Linked DNA regions of Arabidopsis thaliana. The protein of the gene in region 1 interacts with the protein of each later gene in a pairwise test. Each region holds a gene or a part of one and is shown in the gene's direction. Other genes may lie near its edges. The genes, in order: VPS9B, NRP1, AT5G64780 and NRP2.

Region 1 (4,541 bases):
AGGTTTACGAGTATTTACTGATGATAGCTTGCCGTTTTAATTTGTTCCTTAATTGCTTTGATAGTGTGTTACTGTCCTGCCTGCAATTTTTTCCTTCTTCCACTTATATATTGTTTCCTGCTTGTTTAGTTTTATAGATTTATGTATCATCCATGTAAGCTTATATCACTCTCTCTTTACTTACAATTATGTTTTGGACTGCAGGATACTTATGTGGTGTGTGTTCTGTTCAAGAAAGATGGTCCTGGACCTAGAAATGGAGCTCAATATGGAGCTCCGTTTAAGGAAGAGGACTGGAGTGATGAGGAAGTACGTACTGATGTTCCTTCTACTAGTAATCCCACAAACCTTCTTGAGCCTAGCAAAGAAACCACTCTGGCTTTGACTGCCCCAGATGACTCCAATAAGGATTGTTTTGGTGGCATGATATCAGAGTCATGTGTCTCGGATTTCCTACCAGCTACAACTAATACCACCAGCGAGCTTCCACATCCAAGTGATGCAGCTACCACTCCTATGTCTACTGCACCTCTGGCAGAGACCGTTCAGACCCCCAACAATGATGACTTATATTCAATGTTGGATCTATTTGATGATGACGAAGAGTTCTTAGGGTTCAACAATAATGAGGTAGTTTTTTTTTGCATTCTTCTTCTTTGGCTTAGTATAGTGATAACAAGCCGGTGTCACTGCATGTTCTTAAGCTAGCAAGGCTACTTTAAAGCTGTTAAGTGTTTTAGTGGCATTGGAACGTAGTAGTTACCCATTAGACAAAGCTTCTTTGCTATATCTTCGATCTTAGTATCCAACATCAATATGTGCTCTTTTGTATCTGCTTGTTCTCCAACATCAATATGTGCTCTTTTGTATCTGCAAAATACATTCTCATATTTAATCAATCTACAGGTAAGATATGATCCCGGTGTCTCAGCTCCAGTTTGCTTAGAAGAAGAAGGCATTTTCAACGGACTACCAGAGTTGAGCAGCATGCCAAGGACGGCCTCTTACGACCTAGTTGAAAACTCGGAGTTATACCTAGAGCTACAAGACCTCACTGCTCCATTAAATCCCCAAACTGGGCTACAAGACCTCACTGCTCCATTTAATCCTCAAACTGGGCTACAAGACCTCACTGCTCCATTTAATCATCAAACTGGGCTACAAGACCACACTGCTCCATTTAATCCTCAAACTGGGCTACAAGACCACACTGCTCCATTTAATCATCAAACTGGGCTACAAGACCTCACTGCTCCATTTAATCCTCAAACTGGGCTACAAGACCTCACTGCTCCATTTAATCCTCAAACTGGGCTACATGACCTCACTTCTCCATTTAATCCTCAAACTGGGCTACAAGACCTCACTGCTCCATTAAATCCTCAAACTGGGAATCGCAATGACCCGAGAAGCTCCTCCTTTCTGTATAATCAAGGCCATTTTGACTTCTCTGGTGGTAATGATGATGATCCTTATGGCTTTTCTGCTTCCATGAGACATAGACCAAAAATGTAAAAAAAGAAGAAGAGAAGAGAAGCAGGATTTACAAATCCAACAGATGCAAATCAGACCGAATAGAAGGAGGAGCAAGCACCTTTGTTTCTTGTCTTTGAATTATGATTTTTATTAGTCAAAATCTTTTTAATGTGTCGAAACTTCCCTATCAACATTCTCTGTTTCATCCTTAGAATCTCGTATTTCTTCAGAGTATTCTCAACATTTATTCTTGTTTCTATTTTGCTATGGATTATTGTATATATACTTCTTCTGTCTAAATCATATCATTAATACTAAAAGGAATTTTAATGATGAATACTGAAAAACACAAAAACTAATCGGGAGGAACAAAAGTTCCAAGTAAAAACGAAGAATGAAAAAAGTAAATAAGAAGAAGAAAGTATCGTACCAGATTTAGGACCATAACAGATGATGTAGATGTAGGGCTTAAATGGGCTTCGTTTCGAATCCTATTTCGTTGGCCCAATATTTTAGCTTTCCCACCGCATCATTATTCATCATCTCGTGTATTAAAAAGCCGATTTGATCTCTTTCCACTAAAAACCTTGCTGACAAAGAATTCAATTTTGATTGTCGTCGATCGTACGGTATCTTGGGGGATTGATGGAGAACACAGACGTCGTCTCGGGTCTGCATAATTTCTTGAGTAAACCCTCCGCCAAAGATTTCATCAAATCAATCAAAAGGTTATCTCTCTCTCTCTCTCTCTCTCGCTTCTCTTCTTCGCTTTTTGTATACTTTAGGTTTATTTACTCTCTAGTTATGATTACATGTGTGCAAGATAAGATATCTTGCTGATTTCACATTGCTCTCTAGTAGTTATGAATAGTTTTTTTCGTTTTTGCGACAATGTTATGATATCGATGATTTGCTATAAACTTAAGCAGATTTTTGTTGTGATGGAAACATCACATGCCACTGGTTTTTTGAGTTGTGAACGTTTTTTGATGTTTTGCAGTTTCATTGTTTCGATCTTGAACACTGCACCAGACCCTGAAAAAGATTGTGATGCAGTTCAGGACTTCTTTTACAAGATGGAGTCTGCTTTCAGGGCTCATCCACTTTGGTCTGGTTGTTCCGATGATGAGTTAGACAATGCGGGAGATGTGAGTTATTCTTCTTCCCTTTTTCCTGCTTATCTCTCTCATGATTTATCTATAATAATCTTTCTTGACTTAATTTATGTATACACAGGGCCTGGAGAAGTATGTCATGACAAAGTTATTTCCCCGGGTTTTTGCATCAAACACCGAGGATGTTATATCCGATGAGAAACTCTTTCAGAAGATTTCCTTGGTTCAACAGTTCATATCTCCTGAAAACTTGGATATACAACCAACTTTTCAAAACCAAACATCTTGGCTTGTAAGTCACATCTATCTCTCCATAGTGTTGCTTGTTTTCTTATAATGGTTCTTACTTGTGATGTTTTTTTTTCTTATTTTATGGCAGCTAGCTCAAAAAGAGCTCCAGAAGATAAATATGTACAATGCTCCTCGTGATAAGCTTATGTGTATCCTTAGGTGCTGCAAAGTCATTAATAACTTACTTCTAAATGCTTCAATTGCTTCAAACCAGAATGAACCTGGAGCTGACCAATTTCTTCCTGTTCTCATATATGTTACCATTAAGGTATGTTGTCAAGGATTGTACAATTTAAGCAAAAGCTATTTCTGAATATGTCTCATGTTTACTTCATATTAACTCTTATCCTTGGATTCTGAAAATGACATTATTTGCTTTGTTTCTCCAGGCTAACCCTCCCCAGTTTCACTCAAACTTGTTGTATATACAAAGATATAGGCGTCAATCTAAACTGGTTGGCGAAGCTGGCTACTTATTCACCAACATACTCTCTGCAGAGTCATTCATCTCAAATATTGATGCAAAATCCCTCTCCATGGATGAAGCTGACTTTGAAACTAAAATGAAATCTGCACATGCACGTCTTTCTGGTCCGGGAAGCCAGTCTTATCAAACGGATCACGGTGCTGCATTACCCACTGCTCATAATACTAAGAGGGAAAACATGCTTCTGCATACAAAATCAACTGATAGTTTCTCTGGTACCAATGAAACACTGAGTGAAACACCAATAAAGAAAGCTGACCCCATTACCGATTTGGAAAATAAGGGCGCTGCTACGCTTTTGAATGATAGAAGTGAGGCAACCAAAATATTTCAAGAATATCCTTACATGTTTGCCAGTGTTGGTGATTTAAAGATAGGAGATGTTGAAGACTTGCTTAATAATTATAAACAGCTAGTTTTCAAATATGTTTGCCTTTCCAAAGGCTTGGGTGATGCAACATCTTTAACTCCATGCATTTCACCATTGCAAGCGTCTAAAGTCTCTGAGAATCATACAACATTGTCTTCAGATTTTCAAACGAAAAGCGAAACTGACAGGAGCGTTGATAATTTGTTTCGAGCTCTACAAGGTGAGGGAGACAATGTTCATAATATCTCAGATGTAAAACAATAATCAGACTTATCTCTTCCAAATGTAATCGGATTCAGTTCTTGAATGCTACATGTAATTTTACATTCACTAATTATACGGTTCTACGGTTATACGACAAATTGAAACACTTACCGGTTTTATCTGAGAACCGGTTAAGGGTTCATTACAAGATATGAAACCAAGATAAGCGAAAAGGGTATTATTGTAATTTCGCTTCATTTTCTGCTCCTCTGCCATTCCCACACCACTCAGAGGAACAGAGCTTAACGGCGACTATGGAAGGGATTGGACTGCGAAGTTGCGGAGATGATATTCTCCGTCTCGGATTCAAGCTACGCGGTGGTACCGGTGGCCGGATTCAGATTCTCCAGCGAGCTATGGTGATAAAAATGAGAGACCGTAGCAAGAACAGGAAACCATTGCAGAGAGGACGAATGCTCAGTATCGAAGCGATTCAAGCGGTTCAAGCCCTGAAGCGAGCCAATCCACTTCTTCCTCCTCCTCCCGTTCCTTCTACTTCCACGACTTCTTCTTCCTCAGCTCTGCTTGATCGTGTAAT
Region 2 (4,938 bases), on another chromosome or scaffold:
ATTCGCCAACTGAGCAGCCTCTAGAATCATACCCTGGTTAGACAATCCCTTGATCAGTGTGTTGTAAAGAATAACGTTAGGCTTTATCCCTTTCCCTAAGGCCTCATTAAATAAAGCTAAAGCACGGTTTGTTTCACCTTCATGACACAACCCGTCAATTAAGGAGCGATATGTGAACTGATCAGGCACAAATCCATTGAAAACAGCATCACCTACAATCCTTTCTGCAAGTTGTACCATCCCACCTTTGCAATATCCAGCTATTAGTGTGTTATAGGTATAACTATCAGGCTCAAGCCCTTCATTCACCATTTTCCCCAAGTAAACCTCTGCCTCCTGAAACTTGGAATTCTTACATAAGCCATATATAAGATTGTTATACGTGATGACATCAGGTTTGGGTCCCTGTTCTATGAGACAACCTACCATACGAACCGCACCATCAAGCTCACCTCTCTGACAAAGCCCTTGAATGAATAAATTATAAGTAAACAGATTCGGTAAAACACCTCTTTTGATAACCTTATCAAGTAGTTTTTCACACTCCTTAACATCTCCTTTCTTGCAAAGAACACGTAGAAGCTTGTTGAACGTACTAAGACAAAGCGAAACACCCGATGCAAGCATCTTCCCAAACAACTCATATCCCTCAGCCTTAAAATTCTCCTCATAAAACCCACCAACCACAGTACAATAAGCAACCACATTCATCTCACAGCCTTGAGAAGACATATTATTAAGAAGCCTCAAAGCAGCGTGAGGCCGACTGGTCTTACAAAACGACTTCATCCTAATCGTAAACGAGTAAACATCAGGCGTAATACCTCTATCCCGCATCCTCATATACACCTTGTGAGCTTGATCAAAGTAACCACTATCAACCAATACACTCATAATAGCATTATAAGAGAAAACCGTAGGCTCACAATCATAAAAATCCATCCTTTCAAACACATTAACAGCTTCTTGAACTTTCCCTTTCCTACCATAATTCTTCATTGCCCCAACATAAACCCCTTCAAGCATATGGTTACCAACATTCTCCCGCATATCCACTAAAACCTCTTCCATGGCTTCGAATTTTCCATAATATCCAAGCTTTTCGATGACACTGCGGTAAGTAGATAAAGTATGCTTGAAACCAACCTCTTTTCTCATCGAATTGAACATTTCTAGAGCTTTCATAGGATCCTTCTGACATTTTATAACTGCAGTTACATGTTTCGGAAGCAGAGGAGGACCCATAAAGGAGAATAATCGTAACCTAATGAAAATACTTTGAATCCCTAAAATCCAGATACGAGAGAAATAGCAAAGAAGACAGAAGAACCCTAGACAATTCTCAGCGGAGAGAATAAAATCGAGAAAAAGGTAGATCCTTTCTCAATGAGGAGACTCAGAAAACAACTGGAGAAATCAATTACAATGGATGAAAGTAAAGTTCACTGATGAGCTTCAACGGCTACAACGCTGGGAGTAGTAAACCCATCGCACTCGGCGAAGAAGCGCGTAGGAATAATTTGAATAAATAATTATGTTTTCTTTCTAGAACACAAAAGTTGATATGGCCGAGTTGGTCTAAGGCGCCAGATTAAGGTTCTGGTCCGAAAGGGCGTGGGTTCAAATCCCACTGTCAACATTTCCTTTTTTTTTTTGTTTTTTTCTTCTCAAATTGTTTTATTTTAAAGTGGATATATTTTGTCAAGTTATAATATTTTAGAGCAATAATGTTTTAGTGGTCCTGAAGTAAAATCATACGACACAAAAAGGGAAAAATTAAATGACTTAATCCGCTTTTATTAAATCAACTATTTTAATAGGATAACTTAAAAAAGCAAGTGAAGAGAAAATTCTAAAGTACCCTAATATTGATTTTTAAATTGACTAATATACCCTTATTTGCTTCAGCTGGCGCAACCTGATTGGTCCACATAAACCCCTCAAAACCCTAAGTTCCCTTTTGCCCACTCTCACACTTCACAAGCATAAACTCTCATCGGGAGCTAGGGTTTTAGCTGATTCTCTTGTGACGGAACCACAAGAAGAGAAGAGACCAAAAGGAGGAGCCAAAATCCTCTCTTTCTTTGGAATTAGGGTTTCCTCAAAGGAAGTGAACTGAAAATGGTCGCGGACAAGAGCAAGAAGTCGAAAATTGAAGAGAAAGGCGAAGAAGAAAACTTGGAGCAAATCGACGCAGAGCTTGTTCTCTCAATTGAGAAGCTTCAGGAGATTCAAGACGACCTCGAGAAGGTTAAAAAATCTCCTCTTTCACTTTTCGTTAATTTGCTCTGATTCTCCAGATTTTTCCCCTTTTTCTTAACCGGTGTCATGTGCTCTGTATCCTGGTAAAGTTGAATGGATTCCAATTTTGATTTTTATGGTACAGATTTTACTTTAATGTTCATATGTAGCTGGATTTGAATGAAGGATCGTCTTTTTGTATTGTTGCTACAGTAGTGATAGTTGTGTATTCGTACAATGCAATTTGAGAACATGTTGTGTGATTTCTGCTTATTTATAATTTAATTCATGTGACTGCTCTCTGTAATTACTCCTCCAATAGCTATAGAGAAGTTAGTGGAAAGAGTACTGTTTGAGAAGTTAAAGCTCAAACAATTGCATATCATTAACTCATAAGTACAGTTAGAATTGACATGAACTCTAATGAGTGTTTTTTTCTTCTTCTTTCTCCTAACTCTGGTTTGTTGGTTATAGATTAACGAAAAGGCCAGTGACGAGGTCTTGGAAGTAGAGCAGAAATATAACGTGATACGGAAACCTGTCTATGACAAGCGCAATGAAGTTATCCAATCGATTCCTGGCTTTTGGATGACTGCTGTAAGTGTTTATAGGTTGTTTTCAGTTACTGTTTTTAAACATCTACTACTTATTGACCAATGACCATTACACATTCTTTGCAGTTTTTGAGTCATCCTGCCTTAGGCGACCTCTTGACTGAAGAAGACCAAAAGGTTTGAGTTATCTTTCGGCATGTTTTCCAGATTATAATGCCGATAAGGCGATAACTATCCGATTGGCATTCATTTTTTCTGTACAGTTACATTACTTTTTACCAATTCATTTGATTTCCCTGTTTTTACAGATTTTTAAGTACTTGAACTCTCTGGAAGTGGAGGATGCCAAAGATGTGAAATCTGGATACTCTATAACTTTTGTATGTTTCTTTATCCAGCTCATTTTTCTAATCTGTTGTTATTGTCTTCTCATATTGATCTGAGAAGATTACTGGGTTTTGTTGTTATTTAACTTGTTAAATTGGGGGTATCAATCGCAGCACTTCACTTCAAACCCGTTCTTTGAGGATGCCAAGCTTACCAAGACATTTACTTTCCTTGAAGAAGGAACAACAAAAATCACTGCAACTCCTATCAAATGGAAGGAGGGCAAGGTAAATATAAACAGATAATAAGTTTCTTACTTTATTTGTCTCTCTTCGGCGTTATTTTTAATGATGTTTCTCAATAATGTAGGGCTTGCCAAATGGAGTGAACCATGATGATAAGAAAGGAAATAAACGTGCATTGCCAGAGGAGAGGTATTGTTCTAGACCCCATTAAGTGATCATATTCTTAGTGAAATTCTTGTGGTCATGAATATATGATGAATATGATACAAAAAGTTAAATTCTTTCCATTTAACTTTCTCTTCAGTTTCTTTACTTGGTTTACTGATGCTCAACATAAGGAAGATGCTGGGGATGAGATTCATGATGAGGTACATACTCATCTACTTTCTGACTTGTTATACGTTATAGACCGTTTTTATTATCTGCCCAATTTGAACTCCGAAATCTTCTCTCGGAGCAGGTTGCTGATATTATCAAGGAAGATCTCTGGTCCAACCCTCTCACCTACTTCAACAATGTAAACTATTTATCATTTCACTTTCAATCTTGAATCCTCTTTCTGTAGAGGTAATAAGTTGCTTAAAGATTTTGTTGATGTATGTAGGATGCTGATGAAGAGGATTTTGATGGAGATGATGATGGTGACGAAGAGGTAAAACAATTGTCTCATTGCTCCTCAAAATACATTGATTAATTGAGTATCAGTCTGGACATTGTTATTATGAGTCACATGTTTTGTTACTGTGCACCATCTCTTAACCTTGAAAATCTTTGAAACCATAATCTCTTCAGGGAGAAGAAGACGATGACGATGAAGAGGAGGAAGATGGTGAGGAATGATGGGAGCCCAAAGATAACACATTGCTGGCTTGCTTCTATAACAGATGTGTAAAGTTTGTGTTATGAGGTTCTCAATTTTAGCAATGATGAGACTAAGCTTTCTCTTTTGGAATATTTAGTTTATTTACTATCAATAGCTACATTCTGTTTGTACGAACCATGTCATCATCCATGTCCTAAATCTTGCCATAACTACATCTGTTTTTCGCAATTGAGAATCTCTCTTTATCTTATGTTGATTAATATAATCTATCTCAGTTAAAAGTTAAAGGTATAACTCTTGTGGCAGCCTGGACGAAGCTAGAGCCTGCAATGGAGCCTTCATGTAACAAACTAATCCAGGCTTCTCGGTCATGTCAATGTGTTCTCGAGGTGTAGAGGATGTCCATGAGAAACAATGCAACAAACTACCTAGTGCTAATGTCATCATATTGAGGCTGAGTTGAGCGGCTGGACACACCCGTCTTCCCGACCCAAACGGAAGAACCCGAAAGTCTTGACCTTTAACGTCCGTTTCCTCCACAAGAAACCTCTCTGGTCTAAACTCATCTGGGTTACTCCAGTTTGCAGGATCTCGAGCAATCGCCTGCACGTTGACATAAACCGTGGCTCCCTTAGGAACTTTGTACCCACCTACCTGAACTGATTCGCTGGCCTTGTGTGGAAGCATCAATGGTGTTGGAGGGTGAAGCCGGAGAGCTTCTTTGAGTACGCATTGCAGAAACGGCAGT
Region 3 (3,902 bases), about 23 Mb from region 1:
CGCGTAAACAAGTGTGTCGTAATTGGCGTCAAACACGTTATCATAATTCTTTCCTTTGTCAGTCATTGTCTGACCATCACCGTCAAGAAAAGCGAACTCAACGGGAAAATGCTCGTTTAGGTAAAGACTAAGGAAAGGGTAAATGTTGACGGTGAAAGGTAAGTCGTTTTCGTGGAAGAAATTGACGATATCAAGCATCGTTTGTTTGACATCCTTGCGGAAATCACCTTCTGATGGCTTGTCGTTGGCTGATTGGTAAACTTCTGCGTTTTGTGGGATCGTGGCTTTCATTATATTGGTGTGTCCAGCTTCTTTTAACGCCTTGTGAATGTTCTTTAACGCTGGAAATGTTGTCTTCAAGAACGATCCGTTGTATGCAGACAAAAACGGCTCGTTCCCCACGGCTACGTACCTAGTGAATGAATTCTCGGTCAAATATACACCCAAAACAGCGACTTTTACCGGTTTGTAGGTATTTAGATGAATATAATGTCAAATTTATTATTATTATTAAATTTTAACAAGAAACTAAGAATATTAAAAATTAACAGGAAAAAAATTGTCTGAATAAATGAAATCATCTCATTGGTGCGATTTTGTTCAAATTGGAAATAAATAGCCAACCAAAATCGATCTATTTATCAAATCGGTTTATCATGTAGTCGATCAGATAGAATTATGGTAAAAACATGATTACAAAAAAATGAAAAAGTTTTGAAGGTTACTTGATGTCGACGCCACCCTTACGAATATACTGGGTCACGTTTTCTTTAACCCAATCTTTAGCATTATCGTAATCATCTGCGAGAGACTCAAGAAGGTTATTAGGGATTCCAACCATAACCTCCATGCCCGTACCAGCCAAAGCATTCATCGTCCATGAATCAGCGTCAAAAAGCTTCACTTTATTGATCTTATTGTCCTTAAGCATCTGAACAACAATGTTGGGATTCAACGGATGTGATGCGATATTGCCCCAATTCACACCGAAGCCTCCGACCAAACTAGCCAGGGTCAAAACGGTCATTATAACCGTCCCGACGTTAACGAGCATCGCTGCTCTTCCGGCCATATATATTGAGAAGGCGACGATGGATGATAATTAGGGTTTGTTTGATCTCGAAGATGTGTTTTTGTTTTCTTTTCTTTTGTCTGGTTGATGTTTTTTCTTCTTCCAGTCGGTAAAATTCTTTTTCGTGTCTTGGGTGGTCGTTGTAATAGGAATGTTTTTAGGTTGTTAGTGAAAGATTAATTAAGCTTAAAATAAATTTCTATTTTTAGAAAGAATTACAAGCTACAAAGAGGTGTGTATTTTTTTCGGAATCAGTTAGTTTTTTTTTTTTTGGTTAAGAGAGTATATCGCTGTTAATAATTGGTCGAATTGCTTATTAAACGAATACATCCTTGAAACAATGAGATAGCAGTTTATTAATATTAATTTTTGGTATATAAATCAGTCTGAACTCAAAATATGTGATTAGCTACTATTTTCATTGAAGATCCACAAATTATTAACGGTTTGGTTCTACACATAAAAAAAAAAATTCGTGGACCAAAGAAAAAAAAAACAGTCCAAAGCTTCAAAATTTTTGTCTGCAAAGCCAATAGTGGGGCCCAGGTTTTTAGATATATGGGACCCTTAAAAGTAGCATGAAAGCCACGTGGCAGAATCTCTACAGAGTAAATGCCACAAGTCTTTCTTCTTCTTCTTCTTCCCTTCACCAATAAGGCAATAATCCTTCTTCTTCTTTCTAAAATCCCTAAATTACAAATTGTTAAGAACTTGGACAATTCTATTTCTAGGGTTTGTGAGATTCGTTCGGACTCTAATGGGGAAGAAACGAAAATCCGAGGCTACGCGGCTCGATGAGGTTGATCGAACCATGTATGGCGCGTTTCGAGGCGCTGCTAATTCGCTCTCGCAGCTCTATACACATGCCATGAATCACCAACGCGTTTCTTTCCTCGCCGGTGAACGTCGCGGAATGGTCTCTGCTCTCTCTCTCTTGACCTTGTTTTATATCCAGTTTCGATTTTTGGCTTCTGGGTTCGATAGATAGAAACATAGTTGAAAAGTTTTCTTCTCGTTGCTTGTTTTGATGTTGGTTGACTATCTTGAATCGTAAATTGAGTGCTTATGTGTTGTTGGGTTTCTGTTTGCTCTCGAGATTTTAGAGTCACAGAATGAATCATGGATATTCAATGTTGTTTCTTATGTGTTGTTTTGGTAAAGTTGATCTCTTTGGCTTGTTTATGTTCGATTGATTGTCGTACGTGAGTTAATTGGAGACACACTCTGAAATTGGTTATGATCTATGAAGCTAGTTTAGATATGAGGCTAAGCAAGCAGTCTTACTGATAAAAGTTGTGGCCTTTTGATCTTGAAGTGCTTACTTTTGTTTTTTACTAGATTGATGAACTAGGATGGCTGTTCTCTTTTGGTGGCAGCTTGACGTTCTTGGCGTCATTCAATAGTGATTCATGACATTGTAGTATGAGATTTGAGGTTTGATTGGTCCATTGAGTTTTACTTTTTTCTTTCTTTTTACAGGAGAAGCTTTACCAATGGATTGTGAGACAAGAAGAACAAGGAACTAGAGTATCCACAGCTGATATTACTACCTACTTACAGGTACTTTCCTTTGAAAACAGTATCTCGTTTCTGATTACGCTCCTGCTATGTAATTGGAATTCAGATTGATTATACCTCTCTTGACTAGCTACGCATTAAAGTCCCAACGATCTTTAGTTTGATCTGAAAGTTATTCGTGTTTACCTTTTAAAACCATATATGCAGAATGCGCTTGAATATGAACCTGAGGAGACGTCGATACCACTCCCCATGCAAGAGTTTTATCAGCACCAATTCGCTCCACCAAACGTAAATACATCAGTAGCTCATGTTCCTTCAAGTCACATAGCACAACAACAACATTATGATTGTAACCAAGAGAAACTCTTGATTCCACCAAATGGTCTCTCAAGTCCGGTTCGAAGAACCCTTCAGGACTTCAACTTGTGTGAGGCTGAGTCTGGTAATAATAACTACAATCCCAACTCTACAGGTGAACACTTATCTTACTGAATAAAATCTTGTTTCATTTGCCGAAAGATGAAAAACATAAATCATTCCATTGTAAAGTCTCAATTGTTTGTGGTAAAGTATTGTCTCATGTAATACACAAAACACTTTTTCCTAATCTTTCAAAGAAGCTGGATGAATGTGAATTGACCCTTAAGATAGACAAATCTCTGATAGTGATTTTGTCGATAGGCGATATGATGATTTCATGTCTTGTCTAAAGCTCTCAAGACTTAAATGTAGACTTGTTAACAGTGATGAAAGAGAGACAAAGACTAATGATCAAAATTGAAGCCAAAACCTTCCATGTGCTCTCATGGTCCCTCTTTCAATTCAACTTGTCTGCAAAAACATTGCCCTGATGTTGATCTTCGCCGAGCTACGTGGTTTATGCTAATCCTCAGAAGAAACTTCTCGTTCAAAAATCTATGGACAGATAAAAACAAAAGTTACAGAATCACACTTTCTTCTTCTTTTGGTCATGGTGTTATCTGTACTAACAAGACATTCATCAAGGTGGTTGTCTGGAGATTGTCACTACATCTTGGCACAATGACATTTTGGCTGATTTCTATCTAGATTTTTTCCAAATTTTGTGTCTTTTTTTATTTGCCACGGTGTTTTCAAACGTAAAAGTCTAATCAACTCATCTAGCTAATCATATAAACTAGAGCTATAATAAAATTTGAAAGTGTTCGAAACAACTTGTCACTAAGAATTTATAAATAATTAGGTCCACACATAATTATTTCAGGAGTCAGGTCATAGGTCCATATACATTTCAATGGGGTATCAAAACGGTCATAATAAAATAAAGTTC
Region 4 (4,903 bases), on another chromosome or scaffold:
TAAGATCCAACCAAGATTGACGTCCAAATTAAGTTTGATCAGACACTAGCTAACCAGTCACACTATATTTTACGATGAATTCTATAATAATTTTGAAATTCAATTCAGAAACCCAAATTATCCAGGAACAAAATTGATACAAAGTAACCACTGAACATATATATATTCACTCCAGTTTTTTAGTCTTCGACCATCGTACAATAATACATGTTGCTTATTAGATTTACTATCTTCTTTGGAATATGATTTAAGTTCTTAACTATGTTTCTGCATGTTATACCATATTTGCAACTTTTAAGAAATGACACTAAAATATAAGGATTATCATTTCCACACCACATGTTTCACCATATCACATCCATGGACGTTACGCATTAATTGGAATGGATTATATAATAAAACATCGTAATTATATAGATCCCTCCCGTGAGTCACGACCCTACAAATTATGCATATCAGCATGTGGATAATAAGAGACGACGATGAGAACTTGACGTCGAGACAAGGAAATATCAATTAGTCTCTATGAGACTACACAAAACTGGCATTAACGTCGGATATATATTTGTAGCCATGCAATTGCAAACTTAGGGTTGGTTAGTAGTAAATGTGAAGGGGAATGTTCTCAAATTGGGACCAATTCAATAACTCGAAACGAGCTAATTTGTTCAAATAACGAATAAACAGAGTATGGGCATTGGATGCAAAATATATAATTAATTGGACCGCCTTAGACAGCACTATATTTATTGAATAAAGTTTTAATACATATCGGTAACATCTTAATAAATCTACATATTAAGATGTTACTGTATAAACATTTTAACTAATACACATATGAACAAAACTTGACATTCTTTTTTTCTTTACAGAACAAAACTTAAAAAAACTAATATTAAGCGAAATAATTCATTGCTGATTCGTTTCTAATGGTTCGACAGAATATAACGAAATTAATGTACTACCATATTTGTTTACAATTAGTGGAAGCCGAAAATTATGTCTATACTAATATTTTCTATGTATTTAAATCAAGTATTGTGGTACCACCAGCTGTGAAGAATGTTTTCAACAATATTAATTACTTTGTGACCACCTTACCCAATTCCATTCGATATTAAATAGGAAAAAGAAGTATACCTATTATTATGTTTTGTCTGATATACATACACATAAATACCCAACTAGAGCCAAACAACTCCAATAAATCAACCGTTGAATATGAATAATATGACACCTTTTTATTCATAAATGTGATCCTTTTAAACGTATAAAAATGGAGTAGTTAATAACTTAATAACTTAACTTAATAACATTGGTTCCTTTACACCAAAAAAAACAAACATTTTATTTGGGTCTCAAGAGGTTTATTAATAGTGGCCCATGTATAGACTGTTGCAATTACATTATTTCAGTAGCCCGTAAAGTTCCCTGGGAAGCCCATTTTGAGCCCATGGATAAGAAATTTAATTTAATCCACACAGAAAATTATATAAAGGGTGGGTTGATCAGATAAGTTATTAAGAAATCATCATGATTGTATTGTTTGATTTGTTACCTAATATTGTTTTTGTCACCAATTACATGAATTTTTTGTTGTTGTCAATACATGACTTTTGTTGTTGTCAACACATGACTTTTTCTTTAATCATAAAAAAACTTAAACAACATCACATCATTTAAGCTAGATATATTTTTGTTAATCACTTAATCACCATTAATCTATATATGGATGGGTAGATTCTATTATTTTTAAATCACAAAACCAATTATATAAAAATAAAATAAAAAACCTAAACAAAAGAAACATATGAAATTCCCGGCTCTAAATGACAAAAATACCCTTCTTCTGTAACGTGACGTAATCTAATTGGTTAACAAAACCCCCAAAACCCTAAATCAGTTTGCCCAGATTCACGCATCACACAATCGAGTTTTTAGGGTTTTAGCGGTTGCTCTCTCGGAAGCCAGAGAGAAGAGGGAAGAGGAAGTCTAATTCCTCTGCGTTTTTTGCAATTAGGGTTTTCTCAATTGGAATCGAAAATGGTGACAGACAAGAGCAAGAAGGCGAAAACCGAAGAAGAAAACGTCGAGCAAATCGATGCAGAGCTTGTCCTCTCAATCGAAAAGCTTCAAGAGATCCAAGACGACCTCGAGAAGGTAAATTCCAAAAATTTTTAACAATCCCCATGTTTAAATTTTCTCGTGAATTTTCCTTTAGTCGATGTTCATTTATTGCTTTGATCAATGAGAATTGTTGTGTTGGACTCTCTCTCGATTCAGATTTCTAGTGGACAAATTATAAAGAAAAGTCAGTATCTTTATTAGTAATTATGTTGTTGTTGTGTCTTTCGAGTGAAATGTGGTCGCTTTCAAATTGACTTTGTCAATAAAACTGTTTGAGGATTGAATTGTTGTGTTGAGTCCAATCTCTCAGTGACCTCTCTGGTTTTGGTTTTGATAGATAAATGAAAAGGCTAGTGATGAAGTGTTGGAAGTGGAGCAGAAATATAATGTGATAAGGAAACCTGTTTATGACAAGCGTAACGAGATCATCAAAACCATCCCTGATTTCTGGTTAACTGCTGTAAGCCAGACTCTCTGTTCTGTTTTTTTTTTCAATTCAGAGTTTTAAACAATGTTTTCTCTAATTGGAATTTTGGAAATTTACATTTGTTGTAGTTCTTGAGTCACCCTGCTTTAGGTGAACTTTTGACTGAAGAAGACCAAAAGGTTTGTGTTTTCCTTATTAGATTTTGATTGATTGATTCACAGTTTTCATTCTTTGTCCTGTTGATTCGATATTTCTGTTTTTGAACAGATTTTCAAATATCTTAGCTCTCTTGATGTTGAGGATGCCAAAGATGTGAAATCTGGATACTCTATCACTTTTGTAAGTTTCTTTTGTTATTATGCGACTTTATCATAATTTGATTGATATATCTCTGATTGATCTAAGAAAGCCAAGTTGTTTAGTTTATTCGTTTACTGATTGTTGTTACATTGTGAATTGCAGTCCTTCAATCCCAATCCATTTTTTGAAGATGGAAAACTGACAAAGACTTTTACCTTTCTCGAAGAAGGGACAACCAAAATCACAGCCACGCCTATCAAATGGAAAGAGGGCAAAGTAAAATGGATCTTTATTGCATAAAATAAGTTTATTTCTTAAGCTGTCACTGTTTTTGAGATTATTCTTAACTATATTTCTCAATTATCAAGGGCCTGGCGAATGGAGTGAATCATGAGAAGAATGGAAACAAACGTGCACTACCTGAAGAGAGGTATTTCTCATCTCCCCCATTTCACTGAAACCCATCATAGATCCAAGTTAAAACTCTTGGCACCATTCTTATTAGCCATTACACGTCTAAGGACTCTCTATCTTTTACCTGTCTTTTTTCAGCTTCTTTACCTGGTTTAGTGATGCTCAACACAAGGAGGATGTTGAGGATGAGATGCAAGACGAGGTAATGATCCTATATTTTTTTTATGACTTGATTGTAAGAGTAACTCCATGTATGGCCCAACTTGAACTCGGAAATTCGTCTTGTAGCAGGTTGCAGATATCATCAAGGAAGATTTGTGGCCCAACCCTCTCACCTACTTCAACAATGTAAGCTACTCACCATATCATTTTTCAGTCTTTACTTGGTTTAGAGCGCTTAAGTTGCTTGGAGATTTTGGTAAATTGTTAAATGTAACTTTGTAGGACGCTGATGAAGAGGACTTTGATGGAGACGATGATGGAGATGAAGAGGTAAAAGCCTCATCTTATTTCCTTTGTTTGGTTGAGTTTTCTACTTAAAAATTACTGCATCTATGATATGCTAATTAATGTGCATAATGAGATGAAAGATTAGATAGAGATATCTTAAGACAGAACATTGTGTTATTATTAATGCCTGAAACCATTTAAATTCTGGAGATTCCATTATAAGTTGTGCCTGATAAGTTTTTCAAAACCATATCTGTCTCTAGGAGAAAGAAGGTGACTCTGATGAAGATGATGACGAAGAAGACGAAGTTGGTGAGGAATGATGGCAGGGATACCCAGAAACCACATTTGCTTACATGTCTTCTCTATAACAGAGTGTGTAAAGTTTTGTGTGTTGAAAGGTTTTTAATTTTAAGCAAAAGTGGATTATGACGACAACAGACAAGCTTTTAATTTTATTTTACCGTAATAGTTATATCTTGTTGTAAGAAACCATTTTCAGCCTTTTGTTGGAAAATCCTGCTTAAATGGTTTTTGAGTCTTACATAATAGCTTCTTCATCTTTTGTCTTCTTAAAGAGAATTATATTTGTAATTTCATGTCTGTTGTGTTTCTTTGACTTTACTGAATAGAGAATTTGTGTGTTTATGGTGAAAATATAGCCGATCTGCTTGACAGATGAACGGAGTTTATTTTGTCTGGTGACATGACTCTGTTCTCTTATATCAGGATTTTTGAGAAACCCTTTGGTATCTTTATTGTTTGGTCTGAAGGTATGTATATACTTTTTGTCTTTGATTAACCTAGTAATATGATTACTAACTCCTGTAAGTTCCTCTTTCAGATCACTAGAACAAAGCAAGAAGTTGTAATATCTATTGTATAGTATAAAGATGCTCGAAAAATTTCAGATTCTGGTTAGCTCTAGTTGTACAGAAGAACAAAAAAGTCTCTAAAGACTCAAATGTTTCAGAACGACCTACGCCTATGAGTGTCTAAACCGGTTAAATCCGAACCGAAACGAATGGAAACAGTCTTGAGAAACAAAAGAGTAAAAAACTGATCATAGAATCACCTAGTTTTACTAAAAAGTGGTATTTAATAAAATTGCTCTCTAAACAACTTTATTAATAACCTACAACAAGATTTAATTTCTCATTTCTTAAGAGGCCATTAACTACAAGA

What was found.
Region 2: the proteins of VPS9B (region 1) and NRP1 interact in a two-hybrid assay, tested with the Arabidopsis thaliana proteins (one large-scale study listed by BioGRID).
Region 3: the proteins of VPS9B (region 1) and AT5G64780 interact in a two-hybrid assay, tested with the Arabidopsis thaliana proteins (one large-scale study listed by BioGRID).
Region 4: the proteins of VPS9B (region 1) and NRP2 interact in a two-hybrid assay, tested with the Arabidopsis thaliana proteins (one large-scale study listed by BioGRID).

The regions. Positions count from the first base shown.
Region 1 is NC_003076.8:2,889,597-2,894,137, reverse strand, and holds VPS9B (vacuolar protein sorting-associated 9A-like protein), read left to right. Parts: upstream 1-2,043; 5' UTR 2,044-2,121; coding exon 2,122-2,204; intron 2,205-2,476; coding exon 2,477-2,624; intron 2,625-2,712; coding exon 2,713-2,883; intron 2,884-2,970; coding exon 2,971-3,150; intron 3,151-3,271; coding exon 3,272-4,003; 3' UTR 4,004-4,036; downstream 4,037-4,541. Other genes in the region: NAC082 (NAC domain containing protein 82), read left to right, coding at 205-630, 907-1,515; AT5G09315 (vacuolar sorting protein 9 domain protein), read left to right, coding at 4,258-4,541.
Region 2 is NC_003070.9:28,017,084-28,022,021, reverse strand, and holds NRP1 (NAP1-related protein 1), read left to right. Parts: upstream 1-1,972; 5' UTR 1,973-2,121; coding exon 2,122-2,250; intron 2,251-2,715; coding exon 2,716-2,838; intron 2,839-2,921; coding exon 2,922-2,972; intron 2,973-3,103; coding exon 3,104-3,175; intron 3,176-3,295; coding exon 3,296-3,409; intron 3,410-3,491; coding exon 3,492-3,556; intron 3,557-3,671; coding exon 3,672-3,735; intron 3,736-3,827; coding exon 3,828-3,856; coding exon of another isoform or gene 3,857-3,884; intron 3,885-3,971; coding exon 3,972-4,019; intron 4,020-4,159; coding exon 4,160-4,259; 3' UTR 4,260-4,438; downstream 4,439-4,938. Other genes in the region: AT1G74580 (Pentatricopeptide repeat (PPR) superfamily protein), read right to left, coding at 1-1,245; CYP98A9 (cytochrome P450, family 98, subfamily A, polypeptide 9), read right to left, coding at 4,473-4,938. UniProt on the Arabidopsis thaliana protein: Acts as a histone H2A/H2B chaperone in nucleosome assembly, playing a critical role for the correct expression of genes involved in root proliferation and patterning.
Region 3 is NC_003076.8:25,899,883-25,903,784, reverse strand, and holds AT5G64780 (holocarboxylase synthetase), read left to right. Parts: upstream 1-1,657; 5' UTR 1,658-1,829; coding exon 1,830-1,988; intron 1,989-2,551; coding exon 2,552-2,632; intron 2,633-2,797; coding exon 2,798-3,085; 3' UTR 3,086-3,373; downstream 3,374-3,902. Other genes in the region: AT5G64790 (O-Glycosyl hydrolases family 17 protein), read right to left, coding at 1-412, 726-1,072.
Region 4 is NC_003070.9:6,480,604-6,485,506, reverse strand, and holds NRP2 (NAP1-related protein 2), read left to right. Parts: upstream 1-1,860; 5' UTR 1,861-2,043; coding exon 2,044-2,160; intron 2,161-2,464; coding exon 2,465-2,587; intron 2,588-2,682; coding exon 2,683-2,733; intron 2,734-2,821; coding exon 2,822-2,893; intron 2,894-3,016; coding exon 3,017-3,130; intron 3,131-3,222; coding exon 3,223-3,284; intron 3,285-3,406; coding exon 3,407-3,470; intron 3,471-3,556; coding exon 3,557-3,616; intron 3,617-3,712; coding exon 3,713-3,760; intron 3,761-3,981; coding exon 3,982-4,041; 3' UTR 4,042-4,394; downstream 4,395-4,903. UniProt on the Arabidopsis thaliana protein: Acts as a histone H2A/H2B chaperone in nucleosome assembly, playing a critical role for the correct expression of genes involved in root proliferation and patterning.